Linked DNA regions of Cricetulus griseus. The protein of the gene in region 4 binds, or shares a complex with, the protein of the main gene of each other region. Links are inferred from orthologs where the notes say so. Each region holds a gene or a part of one and is shown on either strand. Other genes may lie near its edges.

Region 1 (3,500 bases), on a different chromosome or scaffold from region 4:
AGTGATTACTTGACCCTGAACCATTTGAGACCACATGGAGACAAAGAAGATACCAAGCCAGAAACAATAGTGGTTATGGAATGCATACACACTTCCATGTATTTTTACAGTAAAAATGAATTTAAAAAATCTTTCACAAAAGAAACTTAAAAAATACAAGTAGGCTATTGAGTCCTCCCCCACCCAACATTCTTTCAGGCATCAATTGTATAGTGGAGGGGGATGGTCCTAAATGGTTTGGTTTAATCATACAACATACTCATCCATCATACCTCATCAGCACTCTTACATGACGTGGAAGGGTGGGGAGAGGAAGCTCACAAGAGTCTGCTTCCAACAAATGTTACAGTAGATTGAAGAGAATTCTACTTTTCTGCTTAGTGTATAGTTCTCTGTACTTTGAAAGTGCAATACTTTCAGACCAAATCTGATGTACAGAATTAAGATTAAATTGCTACAGCAAAATTCCTCAGATACCAAGCCAGGCTCAGGTGGTTAGCACTGACTTTAAATGCTGAACACCATTTCTTACAATGAGACAGACACCTTGATGTTAACTTCAGGAGGCAATCGAAAAACCATCCTTGACTCTTTTACTTGTTCAAAACCCTCAGACTGTGATCAGGAGAATTAACTAGTCACATCATGGACCATGCTACAAGTAGTGAGAAAAATCCCAGCAGCAGAGCCTTCAGTGTAATACCTCAGAGTTAGCTCTCAGGAAATGGATGAAATATACATTGCCATTCAGCATTAGCACTGTAGTCAGTGCATGCTTTGTAGGGAGAACTCTGATAATAAAAGTAGCAATCACAGACTCCCCGCCCCCTTTAGCTACGGAATGTACATTGTGTCTGATTCAGGAAAAGAACGTTGATCACGTCCACATTAACTATAGCTACTTGGTGTAATTTCTTGTATAAACCCCAAGTCAAATAAAGCTATGAACAATGTAATATTTATATGTGCATAGTGTTTTATAAAAAGATTGGCCCACACACTGCTTTTCATCAACACAGAGGGAGCACTAAGCATGAAATAAAAGAGTGAAGAACAGAGAATGCAAATGAATGCCTGATTATTCATGAGTAGGCTCTCCGTGGAGAAATGATAGCGCCAACTAAAGCTTTAGTGATTACTTATACAGTCTCCCTCTTTAAAACAACTTTACATACCTGATTTACTTTACATTAAAGTATATTCCCAAGAATCAATCTGTTCATATTCAGAAATATAGACACATACCACATTCCTCACAGCTAGACTTTTGTCATAAATTCTCTTTTATACAAAAAAAGGCAACAGTTGTTTATTTTTTTTTTCCAACAGGCTCTATTAATTACAATTTTAAACTCTACATACAATGATTGGCTGGTTTTCTTTTCTTTTTTTTGTTTTTTGTCTTTTTCTTCCCTCCCCTAATACAGTACCATGGGAACAACAGTGATTGACTTGCAAAGTTTTTGTGTCTGAATGGAAAATGCAAAACAGTACTACAGAAATACAAATGCACTGTCAGCAGCAGTTTGCCGTAGTGGTCCAACAGGTACAAGCAAACACTTTGGCTCAGCTAGGCAGTAATCCACTTAAACCACATCTCAGGGCTACAGCTCACCCAACCACACCATCTGAGGGTTCAGAAAATGGGTCTATTTTAGAAAGAAAAAACATTCCATTTTATTTTGCTATCCCCAGATACAAAGAACAGGGTCATGGGGACGGAGCTTTCTCAGAAGGTCAAGAATCATGGGTGTTACCACTTTCTTCTTTGCCTTTCAATCAATCGGTAAGACTTGGATTATGGTTTCAAAGTGCATAATCATCCATTCAGGAATAAGCAGCCCCAATGCTTTTCAAATATCACGAGAGAGGTTTCCTCTACCAAAGTCCACTCCTCTGCGCCCTCTGCAGAAGGCAACCATGGGCTTATGCTAAACAGTGGGGGAGGGCATTCTTTCCATATTGGAGACATTTATATCTCCCTCATCCCAGAGGCATAAGGTCCTACCTACATTCCACCTACTCAGTTTCATATTGGACCAGACAACCCAGAAGCAGCCTGTCTGTTCCTCCTAAAGGCTGACAATTTGTGATGGGCACTGCTGTGAGATGTGTTCCGTGGCGGAGTTGATGAAACTGACCATCTGAGCTAAGGCTGTATTTGGTTAATGGCAGCCAACTTTGTTTTTGCACCTTCCTGGGCCAGGGAGGGCACAAACCGTACTCTGAATCAACTATTAACTCAAGATCATAAAGTTTCTTAGCGCTGTGCACTGTCGTCATAAATATCCTTCATTTGCAGTAGTATTCTTGTCACACAGTTTGGCCACCCTAATCCATCCTAAAAGGTCCTTAGTTTGTACAAATAGAAGCTTGCTTTTTTTGTGTGTTCTGTTTTTCTGAAAAACAGGGGTTTACAGTACAGCACTACATCACTTCTAACAGTTTATACTGAGTTAAATTTCATTGCATTTACTTAGAGGACATGACCAACAGCCCCATTTATCTAGAAGAGAAAGAGCTTGCCCTAAGAGGGAACAATTCTCAACAATTGTATAGCTTGTGAAGAAACAAAATGTATATCCCTTTAGGCCATTATTTTGGCAAATAATTTTCAAAAAAAAGTATGCATTTAAAAATACTTTCTTTAATATTATACATCAGGCACAACAAGACTTTTCATATATATATTTTTTCTCATAAGATTTCAAATGCATAAAATGTCCATTACTATTCATAGGTCTGTCAGGTGTAGATGCTTTCTCAGGTAAGAAACTAAATTATCCCATGTTTGCGACCTTCCTCTTAGAACCTTTGACACGGTAAAGGTTGCAGTGTGACTCAGGAGTCTCAGATGCTGAGGTCAGTGCTACACTCTTTGTAAGGCCGCCTTCTCTGCTCTGGAGGATTTCTGGGGCTTCTCCCAGCTTCAGGCTTCAGACCAGCCTCGTCCTTTTCTCGGTGGCCAACCTTGTCGTCCCGGTTTCTTTTGTCCAGAGACCGCTCTCGCCTGCGCTCGGGGGACCTGGCTCTCCTCCTGTCGGTGGACTTGGCTCTCCTCTCAGGTGAGCCCCCTCTTCTGTGCTCTGGGGACCGTCTCTGATCCAGGAGTCTTTCCAAGGACCTCCGCCGGCGGCTGGGGGAGCTGTCTCGTCTCCGGGTGGGTGACCGCTCTCGCTTCCTCTCAGGGGACATCTCCCTTCTCTTCTCATGCTTCTCCCTCCTTTCCAAAGTGGTGTCGGCACTGCGGGTGCCTTCCCTGTGCTTCTCCGGGGACCTCTTCTTGGGGCCATTGGTGGCTGTCCGCTCCGGCTGTGCGTCTCTCCATGCATCGGGTGGCCGGTCTTTGGGCCGGCATGCCCCACTGTCGGATTTTCTAGAAGTTCCATTCCAGGTGTGGTGTTCGTTGGGTTGTTTGCTATGCTCCCTATTGCCTTTTGGATCCTTCACGTGTGCCCGCTTTTCCCCATGTTGTGATGATTTGTGAAGATCGGGTGGGT
Region 2 (2,239 bases), on a different chromosome or scaffold from region 4:
GCATATTTGCACAAACAGCGTAAGGAAGATGTAAGGAAAAACAGCCTCTTCCAGGGACAGTGGATCCAGCTGTGGATTTGGGGGTCTGTTGGAAGCATTAAGAATGCCGTCCTAGAGAACTGCTTGCTGTTGGTGGGCAGCTGTGATTCTTCTGGGCCATGCTTCTCAGGGGCACGATGATCTGCCACACATGCTGTACTGCCCAGCATTGAATTTGTCCCCTAAGTGATTCTTAACCAACACTTCCTGGGACCAGACAGTTCACAGGAATGCCTAATGTAGCAGAAATAATGATGTGTGCTAACTTAAAGCAGCTTTTGGGAAGCCTTTCAGTTTCTCATACCCAAAGCAAATCAAGCTTCCTAATTAGTTATATGTGGATGGAGAGCTCCGCTCCTTCAAGCCTGCAAGCCTTCCACTCTGCTTACTTTCCTGGCCTTCATGTCTGCCACAGGAACAGCTTGGCTACTTTTTTTTTTTTTTTTTTTTTTTTTTTTTTTTTTTTTTTTTTTTGTCTCACTCTTGTTCAAAGAACTCATGGCAGGCTGTAGTCACCATGGAGACGAAGGCCATAAATTCCTGGAAGTCACACTCTCCATCTCCATCTTCATCCAGTGTTTCCATGACTTTGTCCACAACTTCCTGCTCTTTGATTTCCTGAGATTGAGAAAGAAAAAAAGAAAAGCTGATGAAGTCCTTTTTAGATGGGATTCAGGGCTATCAAAATGTTATTCAAAGTACCAGGGTGATAATTTGCATCAGAAAAAAAAATCCCAATACAGGTTATGAAAACTTCTAGCAGTCCTCTGTGAGTGAGGGACAGTCAGCCACAGGAAAGTGGGGTGGAGTCTGTGCCTCTCCTCTTGCCTTTGGTCTAGTGGGACCTGGGTTACTTTAAAATAGGGAAATAATCAAGAAGTAACAGATTGTACCTGGAACATGTGTGAATCCCATCTCAACCTGAGCCAGTGACTTAAAGAAAAGAACTCAGACTGGAGAGATGGCTCGGTGGCTAAGAACACTAGCTGGTCTTCCAGTGGTCCTGAGTTCAATTCCCAGCAACCACATGTGGCTCACAACCACCTTGAATGAGATCTGGTGTCCTCTTCTGGCGTGCAAGCATACAAGCAGACAGAACGCTGTATACATAATAAATAAATCTTTAAAAAAAAAATGAACTCAGTGCTGGAGAGCCTGTGTGTGTTTGGGAGCCATGTGGATTTTAACGTTCACTTGGGAACACGTCAGAGCTGCCGTTCTGTTCTGTTCTTTTATCGTCTTGGCTTATTTCCTACATGTCGTAGGCTTTTTCCTGATAGTCCTGACACCGAAGCCTGATGAGTGGTAAGGCTACCACTGAGTGACAAAGGTCAGGCTGCTGATGCACCAAGAGTTCAGGCCTGAAGACCAGTGGGAAGGATGCAGACTCTGAGCACGGAAGATTCCAGTTCTGACCATTTTAATTAACAACTCCCTCCACCCCCGTCCCTGCCAGGAGAGCTCTGTGAAGTCACGTGCTTCCCTAAATACAAAAGATTCAGGCGTGAAAGATGGTGATTCCGAGGGGCTCATGAAGACTTTTAAATATCTCCCAAAATATAGATGGCACAGTATAGTTCTTTCACTTACACCACAGGGACTGTGATTTTGGTTCTACATGTCTTCCAGAGGCTCATGTGTAAGCAGCTTGGGGCCCACCGCTGGCACCACTGGGAGGTGGTAGGACCTTTGGGATGAAGTGAGGTCACTTCCTTTCTTTGTTTGCCTCCACCGGGTGAGCAGCTTTGATCCTTGCCATGATGGTTGACCTCATCAAAGGCCCTCACACAGTGCAGCCTGACAACCATGGGCTGGAACCATGAGCGGAATAAACCTTCCCTCCTTTGAGTTGATTTTCTCTAGTGCTTTTGTTAAACCAGGCCAACAAATATGGATGATACCTCGATATTGTAACATTAATAAATGTGACATCATATGCTCTTTTTTTTTTCTGTTCTAAAATCATGGTGGTAGCGAGTATTTTAAGTTACTACCAATAGAGCTTCCATTCTATGTGAAGAGCCAGACATGCTCGACCTCACCCCTGTGTACTCCCCTTTAAAGATGGTTACATCGAAAGATAGAATGGGTGGGACTATAACTGATTAAGCAAGTGGAGTAGTGGTCTCTTCGGGAATCTGAATGCCTGAGAAATTAGTTCTTCAAAGCAGATTTGGAGACTTCTCCAGCAAGCCTGTGG
Region 3 (4,285 bases), on a different chromosome or scaffold from region 4:
GGGTGCTTTCTTCAGTGTAACTCACCCTACCTGATGTAATTAATTACATATGCTCATGGCAGAGCACAAAACCAGGCTCCAGAGAATGTAACCATTTAATAACAAAGAATCTGGGTGCAACAGCTTCCCTCTCATCAGGTGCTTCAATGCTACCTCCTCCAGACTCTCTAAAGTGCATTTCGTGAGTTGCCCTGGGAAATATATCTATATTAAAATTGAAAACGATGTTGATATATAGATATAAGATGTTGTCACATATGTTTCAGAAAAAAGATAAAATTCTGATGTTTTTTTTTTCAGTAAACACAGCTTTCTAAATTAGGTTCTGTTCAAATGTCCACTATGAGACATGTCTCCTGGTAAAAACAGGCAACTCCCTGTTTTAAAATACCTGGATTTGGCTTATGATGTCACAGGCACCAAAAGAAATTCCATGGGTGAGATCAAAAGTGTCTGAAAGAAGGCAGAGCATATAACAGCAGCAGGAAACAAGGGGTAATATCAGGATCCCAAAGTGTCTGCCCAACTTCTCTGCAGCAATGGCAGCTCTGGAGAAACTGCTAAGTGATATCGTTACTAAGTGAACCTTCCCACAGGCAGGGCACATCACCCTATGAGACTGCAGCTTGCCAGCTCACACTGTTGTGGATTAAGGATGGCCACTTAAAAACAGAAAATGTTCAGTAAATTCAAGTCCTGCTTAGAACTGCAGACTCTCAAGCTATGAGACGGTTGATCCTCAGAAAACAACTTCATGAACTGACCTAACTTAGAAAAGTGCTCAAGGCACCAAATCCAACTCAATTGCCACGATTCAAACCCAATTGCCATTATAAAGAACACATTAAACTTTTGACTTCAGACAAAAAAATAAAAGCAGGAATGTAATAGATTCAGTGCCATCTTCATCTTATAATTATTTTTTCTAAGTAGATGCACTAAGTTCTGATAATTGAAAAGATCACATAGCTAAGGTATTGTAAGCTCGCTAATGTTATACATAGTAATTGCTAAAAACTGAGTAATTTCTAGAAAATGTCTATGCTCCTGTTATTAATGAGGAAACACTGCCCGTCAAAGGTTCAAGTGCTGCAACATGAAGTACAGTCAACACAATGTTGGGATGCTGAGAATGTGCAAACATCAAACTTGGCAGATTGAATTTGAATAAGAACTCAAGCCTCTCTTGATGGGGTTTAGCACTGCATCACAGCAAATCTCTTGCATGCTCTGCACGATTACTGAAATACATGGCCTCAATGGGGGCAAAGTTTCCTTCAAGTACAGTTCTGTTGGGCCATTTCACATCACCAAGGCTGCTGTTACCAGTGAGGCACTGCGCAGGTCTTGCACTGTCTAGCAACTTAGTGACTGACATGGAGTTCAATGAGCCTATTTGGAGGCTTTCAGGTAATGCATGCACTTAAAACTGAAGTCTGCCAAAACTCATGGGTAGGTTTAAAGTAAAATAAACCACTTAAGTTCTTCTTCTAATTGTAAGAGTTACTAACAAGACTTGTTGCAAGAATACTTCCCAAAATGCATCATGGGAGGATATCCTATTTAAAGTCCTGAGAATCATGAAACAGAAAGCCAGCGATCCCTGAGCTTCTGTACGTGCTTTCTATTATTTCCAGGTAACCCAAGGTATTCTCTAAGGTTTGTGTCCCATTTGCTATAGTTGGGTAACTATTCACATTACAAAGTATTAAACAACAACAACAAAATCCCACAACATTCCACCAAAAACGTTCAAGACATCGAGGAAATCATCTAGTATGGTACAACTTGCAAAGTAGACACATTAGTCTCAACACATTAAACATGCCACTGTGTGCTACCTATTTCAGAAGACTGGACAGCTTGCAGACACTCCAGCCTTGCAGTCTCAGAAACCTTTATTACCCTAAAAGGACCTGCATCTCCTGTAATGCTGAGGGTTTGGGTTCCTGAGCAAAGTTAAAGGGGAGGTGTGACTGCACCCCAGGACACACAGGCGCACAGCTTCCTAAGGCCATGATAAACAGCTGCTGTCTTGCACCCTTTCCAGAACTCTCGGCTGTGCTGTGTGGGTGGCAACTTGAAGGTTTCCAAGAACTTTCCGTTTTTGTTTAAGCCAACAATTCTGGGTTTTGTCCATCAATAGTTTGTTATTTAAAAATAAGAATTGGGGCGGGTGGGGGTAAGAAGCTAGAATAATCTCTAAAAAATGTTGCAAAGTTGGCCCTTCAGGGTTCCCTTGATTTCTGGAGGTCCTGAGCTGGTGGCCCAAGAGATAGGCAGAGGCAGTTGGCACCACACCCCATCAGAGGGACAGCAAAAACCCCTGCATAGTGCCCGAGTTGCTGCAAGAGCCACTGCCTGGGGCCAGAGGGACCATTCCTTTGAAGAAATGCTGGGCAAAACCCAAACCTCACGTTCTGGAAGACCGTAGTTACCACGCAGTAAAGGAAAGCACCTGTGCCCCATGACCCAGATGTTCAAGATAAAAATCAAACCCTGCGTGCTGGTAGCTGTGATGTAAGAAAGACGAGGTTGCGGTGCCCAGGGGCTAGTGGTGTCCACTGTGCCCAGGGCCCAGGGCCAACCCCCGCCCACAAGAGCCACCCGGACAGGGGGACACAAGGACGCGAAGAAAGGAGGGGGCTCTGGGAGAGAAGGGGAAGCAGGGGACCGACGGAAGGGACTCAGGGGTGGCAGAAGATGGCCTTCAGGGGACCCCACTCACCCGCGCGGGCACCAGTAGGTGACTAGGACGCCCGCGGGGGGCGGCCAGGGACTGCGATCCCTCGGCGCTCATCGCCGCCCACGCGGCTAGGCGCGCGCTTCGGGCTCCGGAGCTCCCCAGTCCAGCGCCTGCAAGGCGCCCGCGCCCCTCTCTGGATGGGTTGGGGCGGACAGAGCCAGCAGCCACTGCGCTAGCAAGCTGGGCAGGCACGGAACCCCGCCCACCTCCCAACAGCCCGGCCCCTACTATCCTTCTCACCGCCCACCAAGCTCCGCCCGTTACCATCAAGCCCCGCCTTATGCCCGGTAACCCGGCCCATCAGCTTTGCCCTTCCACCTCTAGTCAGCGCTAGCTGGACTGGATTATGAGAGCTGCAAGAAGGATTCCCACCTCCTTGAAGGGACGACCATCACTTTCCCACTTTGGCCAGCAAAGTGCAAAGCTGGGGCAGGGTCAGAAGCCCGCTTCCCTTAGGACTGGAAGGCTAAGAGGACACCTGGGCCATGGGGGACTATGGCGCTATTCCCAGTGGATTCTGATGATAACATCACTGGCACTTACAGATGCTCTGTGACCACTTCCACTAGCAAAGCTTCTCAGATTCTGAGTGTGGCAACGCTTTGCCCTGACAACAGCCTTGGGTACCTCTGGTCTTTGCGGATCTCTACACAATAACCCAGCCCAGCAAACTCCAAAACTCACTTTCTGGAGAAACACACACACACACACACACACACACACACACACACACACACACACACACACACAAGTACCAAGTCCTTCCACTACAGTGAACTCCATTCCTTGTGTCCCACTCTTGGCATCTACTTAGGCCTCAGTCCTCAATCACTGTGAGGGCTCCTTCTGATGTTCAAGGCCGGGGCCCCGATTCCATCTTGCCTCCCACACTTTCCAAAAGGGCTCCAACTTAGTCACCAGTTTCAGTTAAGAGTTTCTTGTATTGTATCAGGTTTGTGTCAAAAGGCATCATAAAAGCAGTATTTGGTTTTATAGATTCACACCATCCTAGAATAAATGCAAATGGAAACTAGTTTGGCCTAAAAGACTGTGCCTGCCTGCACCCTTGCCAATGGCCTGGCCAACACCTGAGTAAAAAGCAAACCTATATTTTTCTCCTTTTTCAGGTCATATGCCCCAGCCCTATGACTCACAGGCAGGCATCCTGGGGGATGCTCATGTTGGCTATACTGTTGCACTATTAGGGAAACTGGGAAGTCTAATGTGTGGTTTTCATATGGCCCCATGATGGACAAGCAAATGTGGAACAAACCATTTACAACTGACCACTAAACAGCCCTGGGTTTGTGACACAGAAGCAAGGTGTTTCAGACTTCCCAGTCTTATTTATCCTCAGCCTACAATTCTACAGCTTTGGTTCATGCACAAAGAGGCTTATGCCCATCCCTTTATCCTTGTCCAGTATAAAATACATGCCTTAGATGACTGGACAATGAATATTAAACAATTTAGCATAAGCATGAGATCATGTAACTTATTTTGAAGTTGTATTTTGAAAAGCACATGAGTTCAATCTCT
Region 4 (3,500 bases):
ATCAAGTACAACGTCACACCGAGAGACAAGTGACCTCGCGCCCCTGCCTCCACTTCAGGGCCCCACTGTTCTACATAGCTAGCTCAGGTCCTGACTGGCCTCTAGGTATGAGTAGAGGAGAAGCTGAGCTTTCGGACCTGTGAGGACACATCCCAGTCACTAAAACATGGACCTGGAGGCCAACAGTTGGATACAGTCACAACAAGCCCATTTCCAGAGTTCTCCTCTATAGTCTATAAGGACAAAGAAAACTGGAATTCCTCAAAGGCCAGTGGCCTGTAATAGTTAAGTATTCTTGCTGGGTCTATAATCCCAGCCCTGGGGAGGATGAGGTAGGCTGATCTCTGTGAGTTCCAGGCCACAGAGTGGGTTTAGGAAAAGCCTGGGCTACATAGCAAGTTTCAGGTTAGCCTAAGTTATATTACAAGACCGTGTCTCAAATATAATAAACAAAAGCAGGGCATGGTAGTAGCGTACACCTTTAATTCCCGGCACTGGGGAGGCAGAGGCAGGTGGCTCTCTGAGTTTGAGACCAACCTGATCTACAAAGGGAGTTCTAGGACAGCCAGAGCTACACAGAGAAACCCTGTCTCAAAATACAAACTAACAACAACAACAATCAACAAAAACTAGGTAAGCCTTCTATGTGATTCGTTTGGGTCCCAGACCTTGGTTGGCCTTCTCAACCTTATTCCCACTCTCCCTGCAAGAAAGTAAAGTAGACTTCAGAGTTCAGGGCAGTGTGCCCCTAGCACACATGAGGACTTAGGTTTGATCCTCTGCATGGACAAAAAAAGACCCTTTCTCCCACTCAGCAGCATCAAAGCACAGAATGGTGCCGATGGTGAGGCATAGTACTGAAAAGGGCTAGAGGAGCTACAAGTTTCAGTTTACGAGAAACACTGACAGGAATGATGTGAATTACAAAGTAATGTAAGTGGTGCCGGCAGGAAACAACAAGCTCAGAACTCAGATGTTCCAAGGAACTACTGATCTCTTTTACATACACATGGCTTACAAATAGGAAACTCTCACACAGCAGACGACATTGCTGTAAACTCTATGCAAATAAAGGCATGCACCACCACTGCCCAGCTGCATATATATTTTTTTTTTTTTTGGTTTTTCGAGACAGGGTTTCTTTGTGTAGCTTCGGGGCCTATCCTGGCACTCGCTCTGGAGACCAGGCTGGCCTCGAACTCACAGAGATCCACCTGTCTCTGCCTCCCTAGTTCTGGGACTAAAGGCATGTGCCACCACTGCCCAGCCAATCATAATGTTTTATTATAGCAACTGAAAGCAAAATAGGACACCATGTAAACATGGGAACCAGAGTTCAGACCTTTACTTAGCACCCATGTAGACTCCGGGCAGATATGGTAATCGGCTTGTAATTTAAACACTTAGGAGGTGGAGAGAGACTCTGGAGGAAGCGGCTTAGCTAGTCAGCACGAGACCCTGCCTCAATACCTACGGTGTAGTGTGTCCTCTGACCTCCACACTCAGGCACTTACGTGCAAACGCACCTGTCCATCTACTCGCCTATACAAATGCGCTCTCAAGAATACATACATGTGAGGGGATGGTGGCACATCACTGTCTGCCACCTTGCCATGATCCTCTTCCCTTGGCCTTTCAAGAGCTGGGACTACAGGGGGCTGCCATGTCTGACTGTTTTCTTTTTTCCCTCTTTGGAGACAAGGTCTCCATAGGTAGACCAGGCTGGCCTCAAAGTCATGGAGATTCATCTGCCTCTGCCTCCTGAGCGCTGGGATTAAAGGCCTCTGACACCAGGCTGACTTCATTCCTAAGCCCCTCGCTGTGTGATCAGAAGCACGCCCAAACATCACACCACCCAGAGAGAAGCTCCAGGGAACTGAACCATGAGGAACTTTACCCTGCCACTTGGCCCATTCCCAGGGCAACATCAGTCAACAAAGAAGGCCACACCCCGCTCTTTGGCCCACCCACTCCCTTCACCGCCTCCATCTTTTTTTAGTTTTTTGAGACAGGGCTCCTCTGTAGCTTTGGAGTCTGTCCTGGCACTCGCTCTGAAGACCAGACTGGCCTAAACTCACAGAGCTCCACCTGCCTCTGCCTCCTGAGTGCTGGAATTAAAGGTGTGCGCCACCAAAGCCCCGCTACTCCCTCTTTCTTAGCATCTGGGTCACCCTCTCCTTTGAAGCTCCCCCACAGGGACCCCTGCACCTTCCAAAGAAAATCTATTTCTCCCCCCCACTTCCTGTTGCCACTTTCCTCAGTTGTGGGCTTCCAGGAAAATGACCTTATACTCCAAGCCTCAGACTTCTGACCTGCCAAGGGCCAGTAACAACATCTAATTCAGGAAATCCAACTGGAATAACAAAGGAAACTTTCCCTTAAATTAATCCATAGTGTGGTGTATGGCACACAGTAGGTACTGGACAGATGCGCCTCAGTCTGGCCTCAGGTCTTCCCTCCTCTTAGAGTCACCTACCTACCCATTCCCCAGTCCCCTCTGACTGGCAATTTGGAGACTGCCACGCCCGAGACAGAAAGTTCTTGCACTCTGGCCATGTCATGACGCCCCGAATTGAGACTCACCCCCTGGGAATGCAAGTATTCCACAGTCTTGCTGATGGTATGCAGGACGAAGCTGGCCTCCCGCTCTGAGAAGAACTTCTGCCGTAGGATCTTATCCAGTAGCTCCCCGCCCCTCATCAGCTCTGTCACCAGGTACACGTGTTTGCCATCATCATACACCTGCCAGAGACCTCACCATCAGGCTGGGACCCTCAAGACACCAGCTCTCCTGACGAGGAAGCCTCAGGGCCGGGTACTGCCACATTCCAGTGACCCTGCTGGACCTCCACCGGGTGAGCTCCCATCCTGCTAGACAGTGGGTGCTGGCCTCATCCCTGATGGTTATAGAGGGTTCAGAGAATGCCTGAGCCTGGAGGGAAGGCTCAGGGACCCCTGCCTCTTCTCATGAGCATTGGGAAGAGGCCCTGAAGTGAAAAACAAGGGCCCTCCCACCACTCACATCTTTCAGGGTGATGATGTTGGGGTGCTGCCCATACCGCAGAAGAATCTCAATCTCCTCTGAGGGGTCCCGTTTGCTCTTGTCGATGACCTGAAGAGTGGGAGCACATGGCAATGTCAGGGGCACAGACCCCACTGTCCGATTCCCTCTGCCATGAAGCCCATACCACAGGACCAGGGACAATCAGCCGTACATCTGTCATAATCCACAGACCTCCCATCGAAGTGCCACGGGTACACGGGCCCCACCCTCAACCCAGCAGCCTTAATCAAGACGTGGTTGGGAAGCCAACCTTGACAGCATACTCCATGTTGGTAGCCTTGTGGACACAGCGCTTACACACAGAGTAGGAGCCCACGCCGACCGTCTCCTTTACCACATAGCCATCACTGAAAACTAAGTTCTTCCCGTGGAGTTGCTGCAGAAGACAAGAGTTGGCTCGACCCCAGGTGCTACCGCCCAGGGACCATCCCTAACA
Region 5 (3,500 bases), about 220 Mb from region 4:
GTGCTTTATGTTTCAATATTCACTATATTTTCTAAAGATTAATTAGAAATTTAAATGAGACTGTTCAATGTACACAAAATATGTGCTTTTATGTGTCATCATTTCAAATAAATATGATAGTATTTATTCTGTGTTTACTACAAGTTCAAAACAAAACATACATAATTAAATAAATGTATTTCAGGTAGAAAATGTTGCTTTGTAGTCCTTGTAATACAAATATGTTTTTAAAGAAAAACACTTTAATTCATGACTTCTTCTATAGCATTAATCAAGGTATTAGCTTTCTTCTTTTTTGCCTAATTTTCATTAGCTCACATTTTCCTATTTATTGCTATTTTCCAGTGTTGAGACAGGGTCTCATGTAGCACAGACTTATATAGCAGAGGACAACACTCAACTTTTTTACCTGTCTTTACCTCCCAATTGCTGGGATTACAGACATGTACTGCCAGGTCCATAATTTTAATTTTAGCCAACTTTAAGGAAACCAAGATATTCATTCTACAGAAATTAAACAATATTTTCTTGCTAGTACATTCACATTCTCAAATGTGAAAATGAAATTCCATTTTTTTTCAACTAAATGTGCCCATTCCTAGTGTAGTTAAAAAGAGAAGTTATAAAATATGAGTCAAACCAAGAGTTGAGTATTTTCATTTCAGTTATAATATGTGTTTAAAAAACTAAGTGTCCACATATGCTGGTGCTTGATCTATGATTCTATTCCAAGGGGCAAAAACCTAATTAACTTTAAATTTTTTGTATCTTGTTCCAGGTCAACCACAGAACCAATTCTGTGATATGTCTCATTTCAGATACTCATGTATTTGAGAGGTTAAAGGGTTTATGAAGTCTGATTTAGATATAGCTTCATACAGGAGAACAACAATTCAGTAAATACCACTGGCCACTTGTGGCTTGCAAAATATCTTAGACTTCAAACCACAGAGGAATAAAATAAGCAACCTATGGCAATAAGTTTTTAATGTTATGGTGTAAGTCATCTGAAGAAAACAGTGAAACACTGAATGAAAGAAAACGGTGAATAACTTTTTTGCTACCGGGGGAAGTAGCGAGAATCAGCAGAACATCTATGAAAGGAATCGGGGAAGAAGCCATAGAAATTGAGGCCCATGGATGAAGTCATCTTTGAAGAAAGCTTCACATACTGTGCATTGTTTTGAAAGGCATAGTTCAAAGGAAGACATCTAGAAATTAGTTGGCCATGTCTGAAGAAAGGAAACAACCGCATAAATAGGGAACAACAGCAAGAGCATTTTCTATATAAGATTCAAATCATAGGAATATTTAATAGGAAGTAACCTATGAAGGCAAATTCATGAAAAAGAAACTTCAATGATTATTTGGATATGCCTACTTACTCATTTTTCAATAAAGGCTAAACAGTGGAATCATTTGAGGTGGAAGGCAACCTCACAGAACTGTGCTCAGATACCTTCTGAACTCCAGTGAGTGGTTAGATGTCCCCAGATATTACACAAAGCCCTCCATAGTCTCCTACCTGTATCCTCTCCACTTCTAGGAAGGTGGCTGTTTGGAAGGCTCGTTCCCATTGGGCAAGGTCACTCTCTAGCTCCACAGAGAAGTAGAAGTCCTCCCCACACTCAGACTGCATAGTAAAGCAGTATTTCCTCTGATCCAGCAGGTCACTGTCCTGATGAAAACCTGGAGTTACACAGGCTGGCATACATCAATTCTTAATCAGCGCAGCAAATGCCTACTGAGCTGCTTGATACAATGGGTAGATTCCACAATACACATGGAATTTTGTACTGTCATTAATCTTAATTCAAAATGGTTAAAACAAATTTTAAATCCCACATCTGAATCCATTTTCTGTGATCATTCACCCAAATTTCTTAGTAACAAAGGAATAACTACAGTGCTGAATGCACATACACAAAAAATCTGTGATTGCAAAATGGCCTGATACACAACACCCCAACTTCCTTGCAAACTGTCTGGGCACTGAGATGTAATAATGCTTATGATTATGCTGGCATCTTTCACAGTCATGAGAAAATTTCACTGAAATGATTTTTTTTGGAAATCATTAAATTCATGACCCCATAGAAAATTAGGAAAAACGTAGTGCAATTTTCTGCACCAATTGCTTTCTATATTCCCCTATGGCAAACATTTTCTTTATATGTGTAATTTTATTTCATTGTATCAAAGATTTTGCTCCTAGAAATTTCTTGGTTTGGTCCCACATTTTTTACCAAGGTGTTCCCCTAATGCAAAACATTTCAACTCTAAGGTACTTTGAAAATTCAGATATGCTATGTATGAAAAAGTACAGGACAACAGTCTGTACTACATTCTCAGATACATAATTTGAAATACTTATTCAATATACTGTAAATTTTTGAGGGGCTACTCATTGGTATCTAGCTATTGATGGAGGAATGCATGCAGATGTACCATAACTAAACAGTGCAAATACATTGAACCCTCGGCTTTAGCTATGATTTAAAACAGAATATCTAACTCCCTTGCATTCCAATTTGATTCTTGTAGGTACATACTGGAAGGATAAAGGAAGTTACTTCCAGTATTATAGAATTAACTCTGATTCTTGCTGCCTGAAAACTTTCAGGGAGCTAAGAAGATGGCATAGGCATTGCAAAAAAATTAACAAGACAATGTGAGCATAGAACACAAATAAATGGTGACAAGGTTCTTTTGGTGTTTGGAGGAAATATTGTATTTGGGGAGTGTCCCAGTGACAGATATTAAATCAAAGCAGCATTGAATACACTGGTACAGATCATTATGAGTACAAGTATAATTATGCCTTTGATAAATGTCTTATCACTTAATGGCTTAAGCTCCTTAACTGAATTAATGTCCTTGATTTTGCTCCCAATTTAACTTAGTGGAGTGAAGTTCTATTTTCTGGAAAGAAGATTATATCCAAAGGTATCTGATACATGTGGGGATGTGTGTGATGCATTCAGATGGAAGCTAGTTATTTAAAATGATAATTTTTAAAAGTGGCAAGATAATGAAAATAATGAATGAAGTTTTACATTATTATAGATTATTTGCATTCTTGAGTTCTTACTTAATATACTTTGTTAGTTTCATTATTATTTTGATTGATATACACAGGAATTTTCTGTAAGACATTGCTACAGGGAACCAGAAACCTTGTTTTTAAAATAAACATTGTTAAAACTAGAAAAGCACTCTGTTCTCTGGCTGCCGCTTGAGTCTGAGGTGAGACTTGGTGCTGCTCTGCCCACAACCTCCCCCATCCAACCCTGGTCGCTTCTGTCTGAGCCCCCCTGGACAAGAGTGGACCTGCCCAGACCGTAAGGCCCACCCTGAGTCTGGACATACCTCACCCTTATCTCTCTACCACCCTCTCCCTTCTGGCTGCTGCCTGAGCCTGAGCCTGCTGCCTGAGCCTCAGCCCTCCACCTACCACCAGAGAGAGGAGGAGACCCCACATACACCTACTGGAAGAAGGG
Region 6 (3,926 bases), on a different chromosome or scaffold from region 4:
GGGCACTTTCCCTAGCTCTAATGCTTGATGGAAATACTAAGAGTAGAAACTTTAGATCTGTAAGAAAATTGCTTAGAAATTAGACAATGCCCATTAAAATGCCCAGAGGTTCAAACAGTGATATTATGTTGAATTTAGTGCTTAAACAAGAATAATAATATCAGGAATCTGCTCTCATCGGAAGACCCTGGAAATACTGTAATACCACTGCAAAGAGACTATATCATTAGGTCCTTACCATTAGGCAAAAAACAACCTCAAACATCATAAAAAGTAGTATCATGCAAGTATATTTAAAGAACTAGATGTCATTATGTACTTGCAAAGCAATCAGAAAGGTGTATCTCAACTGATCCTAAGAAGAGAAGATGAAAAGTACACACAAAAAAATGGACTTTTATTTAAAGATCTGAGGCTGCTGAGTGAGATGGCTCAGTGGGCACAAGCACTTGCCACCAACTCTGACAACCTGAGTTCAATCCCTGGGACCCACATGATAGAAGGAAAAAACTGACTCCTGAAAGTTGTCCTCTGAGTTCTACAGGCCTCCTTGCCCCTCACACAAATAACTAAATAAATGCAATAAAAATTCAATTTCTACCATGCTAGCCTAAAAAGTAAATAAATATTGAGAGAATAGTTTTCTAAAATAGGACAAATTCAAACACTTGAGCATATTGAAAAGTCTTTGAGCAAAAGTTTTTGAGTTTATCTTAGGTTTTCTATTGCTATGACAAAACACTGTAACACAAGCAACTAAGGGATGAAGTGATTTATTTAATCTTACACTTTCAGGTAACATTCCATCATAAAGAGAACTCCATCAGGAGCCTGGACGTAGCAACTACAGTAGCGCTACTTACTGGCTTGCTCATCCTGCTTCCTTACAATCTAGGACCACGTGCCCAGGGTGGCACTGCCCACCGTGAGCTGATCATCAAACATCAATATCAATCAAGAAAATGCTCCACAGGCCTGCCTACGGGCAATCTGATAGAGGTATTTTCTCAATTGAGGTTCCTTTTCCCAGATAACTCTATCTTCTGCCAAGTTGACAAATGAAATAAAAAATAAAATCAACCAGCACTGAGCTTCTGTATAAACCACAAAGATTAGCAGTGTGTTACTCCCATAAATAAGACCAACTTCCAATTTTCTCCCAACAGGAAGACAAAAAGTATGACTAATTCTGAAAGTTGTGTTTTATACAGAACACTCTATCAGTAGTGATTAAGTTATTGCAAACTTCCAGATGAGAAAAGTTGACAGAATATTCTAAGTAGAATAAAAATCCACAGTAACCAATGATTTATTCAACTCTTGGAATACTGTATTTAGCAGAACTTACTGGGGTCAGTCTAACCATTCATTCACTAATGATAACAATAATAGCAAATACACATTGCTTACCATATGTCAAGACAATGTTCTAAATATTTCTCAGGGCGTAACTGGCTTCATCCTAACACTATATGTCAAACACAATGCACTTCATAACCATCTCCACTCTACAGACAAGAACCTATAGCATACATCAGTTAAATTACTCTGCCAATGAATTAAAACCAACCAGACAGACTGACAGACAAACTGGTAAGTTGTTAGATAAAAACTTGGCCATAAGTAGTTAACCCTAAACCTAAAAATAGTCCAAGGGAGACAACAGCACTATGTAGTCATGTTTAAAGGCCAGTCTGGCGCCGGGCGGTGGTGGCGCATGCCTTTAATCCCAGCACTCGGGAGGCAGAGGCAGGCGGATCTCTGTGAGTTCAAGGCCAGCCTGGTCTCCAGAGCGAGTGCTAGGATAGGTTCCAAAGCTACACAGAGAAACCCTGTCTCGAAAAACCAAAACAATAATAATAATAATAATAATAATAATAATAATAATAATAATAATAATAATGCCAGTCTGGCCATGAGCAGCGGTGAGGAAGACACAGCAGGGCTGAGTGGGAATTTTCCTGTCAGAATCACATTTAGTATTTAAAGAATTGTTTAATCCATACTGAATCCATATCCCTAAAAATGAAACTAGAAAATAGCCTTTTCGTTTTAATTCATTATAAAAAAAAATGTAAAAACAAAACAAGCCCAAGTAATTCTGGGGTGGCGCTAGGTCTGGAAACTTCTGTAGTGGGTATCCTCCTGCTTTAGCATTCCAGTTGACACTGTAAACTAATTTCCCAGAAATGCAGACAGGGACCCTAGCACCAGGGAAATTGCTATGCATTCAGAAAACCACGCCGTTTACCGCTCTCGTTTTTACCTGAACGGGCCCTCATATAAACAAGGATGATCCAGGCAACTGAATAACGGATGTGGCGTCCACTACAGGCTGTCTAAGCAGCGGCCGTTCGTCTAGACTTTTCTATTACTACCAGCAAACAGAAACCCTTCCTGGCCCTAAATGCCTGCGGCACTTTCCCTGGGTTGTGAGGCCGAGTCCCAGGGTCCGTTATCTAGCTAACAAAGGATGCCAATGGGCTCTTTCGTCGTGCCCGACGGCGTTCTTGGAAGCAACTTGGTCGGGCCGGCCTGCTCTCCAGCCAGTAAACCTGGCTCCGCAAAACCAACGAGCTCAGCAATGACTCCCTCCACGTCCCGCGCCTACCCGAGGGTCCTCTCGTCAGGTTGATCTCTTCCTCCGTAACTATATAATCCACCCGTCCGTTCATGTCTGACGGCTCACCGGGCGGAAGCCCGGGGTCAGCTGGAGCTCCGCGCAGGTGAAGGTGAATCAAGCTCCGCGCCGCGTCCCCAGCATAGCTTTTACAGTTTCCTAAGCCGCCGGACCGGAAGAGGAAACCGCGGGCACTGGGAGCGCCAAGGATGCTGGGAGTGGTGGTTCTCCGCGCCCACCAGCGTTTTCCGTTACCTCGCCCCATTCCCAAGGCAGATCCTGGGGTGCCATGAGTAAGGCACAATGCTCACCTACCTTGGGAAAGCATGTGGGAAGGAGGGCACGGAAAGAGGGTAATAAAGTTATGGTTCGTAATTAGATTGATACTGTTGATATTTTAAATAAAATCTCAAAATATCCACAAATGTAAAAAAAAAAAAAAAAAAAACAGGAGGATTTTATCTTATGAGCTTCAAACCATACTGGGAAAGGCATCACGGGCAAACTACTGGTGAGATTGCATATTTGGGCAGAAAGTTGTACCTTTTCCTTTTGTGTGACGTGGGTACAGCCCAATACATCCATGCCCCGTGTAAAAGAACTTGATAACACTGTGTCATGTTCATTCGCTGGCAGTTCACTCTGTGTTAATATAATTTATCTACAGGGGGAAAAAATACAACCTATCTCCCTCCCTCCCCCACCTCGTGTGTGTGTGTGTGTGTGTGTGTGTGTGTGTGTGTGTGTGTGTGTGTGTGTGTAGTGTTCACTGCTTAAAGCAAGGCACCTACACTGACACACATGACAGGAAACTGGAGCACCATACGACTGACAAGACACTTTGTTTAAAGTATTTGCTGCAATATATTCCTGGTTTGTGTCTTTAGCAGGCTTATCTAACTTAAGAAATGTGTATACATACAAAGATACAGAGAAGGGATTAATTAAATTATAGGCTTACTCAAGAAAAATACTCCAAAGCAGGGGTGGAGGGTGTGGAGGTGGGGGTGGAAATGTCATTTTTTTGACAAGATGATTGCAGGACTTAAGATGTGACATTCCTAGCCCTCTTGACTTTTGAAATAGGACATTCCAAACAGGTTGAAGGAATTTTCAAACATCAAAAGATAAAAAAAAAGCCTTAGGAACCAGGAAGGTGACCATAAATGTATATAGGGTGAAAAAAGGGATTGGTTACTGGAGATGTTAGAGAATTGAAGAGTGAATATCACCATAAAGGTATTCTACCTTACAGTTAAAAATCGAGCCAGCAACCACTGTTAATTAATCAAAACAAGTCAGAAGT

What was found.
Region 1: the proteins of Rps6ka1 (region 4) and Magi1 are in contact, whole or in part, in a crystal structure (PDB 5N7F), measured with the Homo sapiens proteins. The link is inferred for Cricetulus griseus from reciprocal best matches to the Homo sapiens genes RPS6KA1 and MAGI1. Residues at the interface, in NP_002944.2 of Homo sapiens: Pro731, Ser732, Thr733, Thr734, Leu735; in NP_001028229.1 of Homo sapiens: Arg480, Gly481, Phe482, Gly483, Phe484, Thr485, Val486, Val487, Gly488, Asp490, Lys499, Ser500, His532, Val536, Phe539, Gln540.
Region 2: the proteins of Rps6ka1 (region 4) and S100b are in contact, whole or in part, in a crystal structure (PDB 5CSJ), measured with the Homo sapiens proteins. The link is inferred for Cricetulus griseus from reciprocal best matches to the Homo sapiens genes RPS6KA1 and S100B. Residues at the interface, in NP_002944.2 of Homo sapiens: Ala697, Met698, Ala699, Ala700, Thr701, Ser703; in NP_006263.1 of Homo sapiens: Ser42, His43, Phe44, Leu45, Glu46, Ile48, Val53, Val57, Ala84.
Region 3: the proteins of Rps6ka1 (region 4) and Sntg2 are in contact, whole or in part, in a crystal structure (PDB 7QQL), measured with the Homo sapiens proteins. The link is inferred for Cricetulus griseus from reciprocal best matches to the Homo sapiens genes RPS6KA1 and SNTG2. Residues at the interface, in NP_002944.2 of Homo sapiens: Pro731, Ser732, Thr733, Thr734, Leu735; in NP_061841.2 of Homo sapiens: Gly82, Gly83, Leu84, Gly85, Leu86, Ser87, Ile88, Lys89, Gly90, His94, Ser101, Lys102, Phe104, His134, Val138, Leu141, Arg142.
Region 5: the proteins of Rps6ka1 (region 4) and Sntg1 are in contact, whole or in part, in a crystal structure (PDB 7PC8), measured with the Homo sapiens proteins. The link is inferred for Cricetulus griseus from reciprocal best matches to the Homo sapiens genes RPS6KA1 and SNTG1. Residues at the interface, in NP_002944.2 of Homo sapiens: Arg728, Lys729, Leu730, Pro731, Thr733, Thr734, Leu735; in NP_001274742.1 of Homo sapiens: Gly67, Phe68, Gly69, Leu70, Ser71, Ile72, Lys73, Gly74, His78, Ile80, Ser85, His118, Glu119, Val122, Leu125, Arg126, Arg141.
Region 6: the proteins of Rps6ka1 (region 4) and Synj2bp are in contact, whole or in part, in a crystal structure (PDB 7P74), measured with the Homo sapiens proteins. The link is inferred for Cricetulus griseus from reciprocal best matches to the Homo sapiens genes RPS6KA1 and SYNJ2BP. Residues at the interface, in NP_002944.2 of Homo sapiens: Pro731, Ser732, Thr733, Thr734, Leu735; in NP_060843.2 of Homo sapiens: Arg18, Gly22, Leu23, Gly24, Phe25, Asn26, Ile27, Val28, Gln33, Ser45, Arg46, His78, Val82, Phe85, Arg86.

The regions. Positions count from the first base shown.
Region 1 is NC_048601.1:50,151,311-50,154,810, reverse strand, and holds the end of Magi1 (membrane-associated guanylate kinase, WW and PDZ domain-containing protein 1), read right to left. Parts: coding exon 2,851-3,500; 3' UTR 70-2,850; downstream 1-69. UniProt on the Homo sapiens protein: Plays a role in coupling actin fibers to cell junctions in endothelial cells, via its interaction with AMOTL2 and CDH5. May regulate acid-induced ASIC3 currents by modulating its expression at the cell surface.
Region 2 is NW_023276806.1:262,463,716-262,465,954, forward strand, and holds the end of S100b (protein S100-B), read right to left. Parts: intron 658-2,239; coding exon 517-657; 3' UTR 501-516; downstream 1-500. UniProt on the Homo sapiens protein: Small zinc- and- and calcium-binding protein that is highly expressed in astrocytes and constitutes one of the most abundant soluble proteins in brain.
Region 3 is NC_048600.1:32,419,981-32,424,265, forward strand, and holds the start of Sntg2 (gamma-2-syntrophin), read right to left. Parts: upstream 2,801-4,285; coding exon 2,729-2,800; intron 1-2,728. UniProt on the Homo sapiens protein: Adapter protein that binds to and probably organizes the subcellular localization of a variety of proteins. May link various receptors to the actin cytoskeleton and the dystrophin glycoprotein complex.
Region 4 is NC_048595.1:19,421,641-19,425,140, reverse strand, and holds part of Rps6ka1 (ribosomal protein S6 kinase alpha-1), read right to left. Parts: intron 3,441-3,500; coding exon 3,315-3,440; intron 3,113-3,314; coding exon 3,023-3,112; intron 2,743-3,022; coding exon 2,584-2,742; intron 1-2,583. UniProt on the Homo sapiens protein: Serine/threonine-protein kinase that acts downstream of ERK (MAPK1/ERK2 and MAPK3/ERK1) signaling and mediates mitogenic and stress-induced activation of the transcription factors CREB1, ETV1/ER81 and NR4A1/NUR77, regulates translation through RPS6 and EIF4B phosphorylation, and mediates cellular proliferation, survival, and differentiation by modulating mTOR signaling and repressing pro-apoptotic function of BAD and DAPK1.
Region 5 is NC_048595.1:235,446,428-235,449,927, forward strand, and holds part of Sntg1 (gamma-1-syntrophin), read right to left. Parts: intron 1,679-3,500; coding exon 1,526-1,678; intron 1-1,525. UniProt on the Homo sapiens protein: Adapter protein that binds to and probably organizes the subcellular localization of a variety of proteins. May link various receptors to the actin cytoskeleton and the dystrophin glycoprotein complex.
Region 6 is NC_048598.1:122,173,805-122,177,730, reverse strand, and holds the start of Synj2bp (synaptojanin-2-binding protein), read right to left. Parts: upstream 2,801-3,926; 5' UTR 2,676-2,800; coding exon 2,612-2,675; intron 1-2,611. UniProt on the Homo sapiens protein: Regulates endocytosis of activin type 2 receptor kinases through the Ral/RALBP1-dependent pathway and may be involved in suppression of activin-induced signal transduction.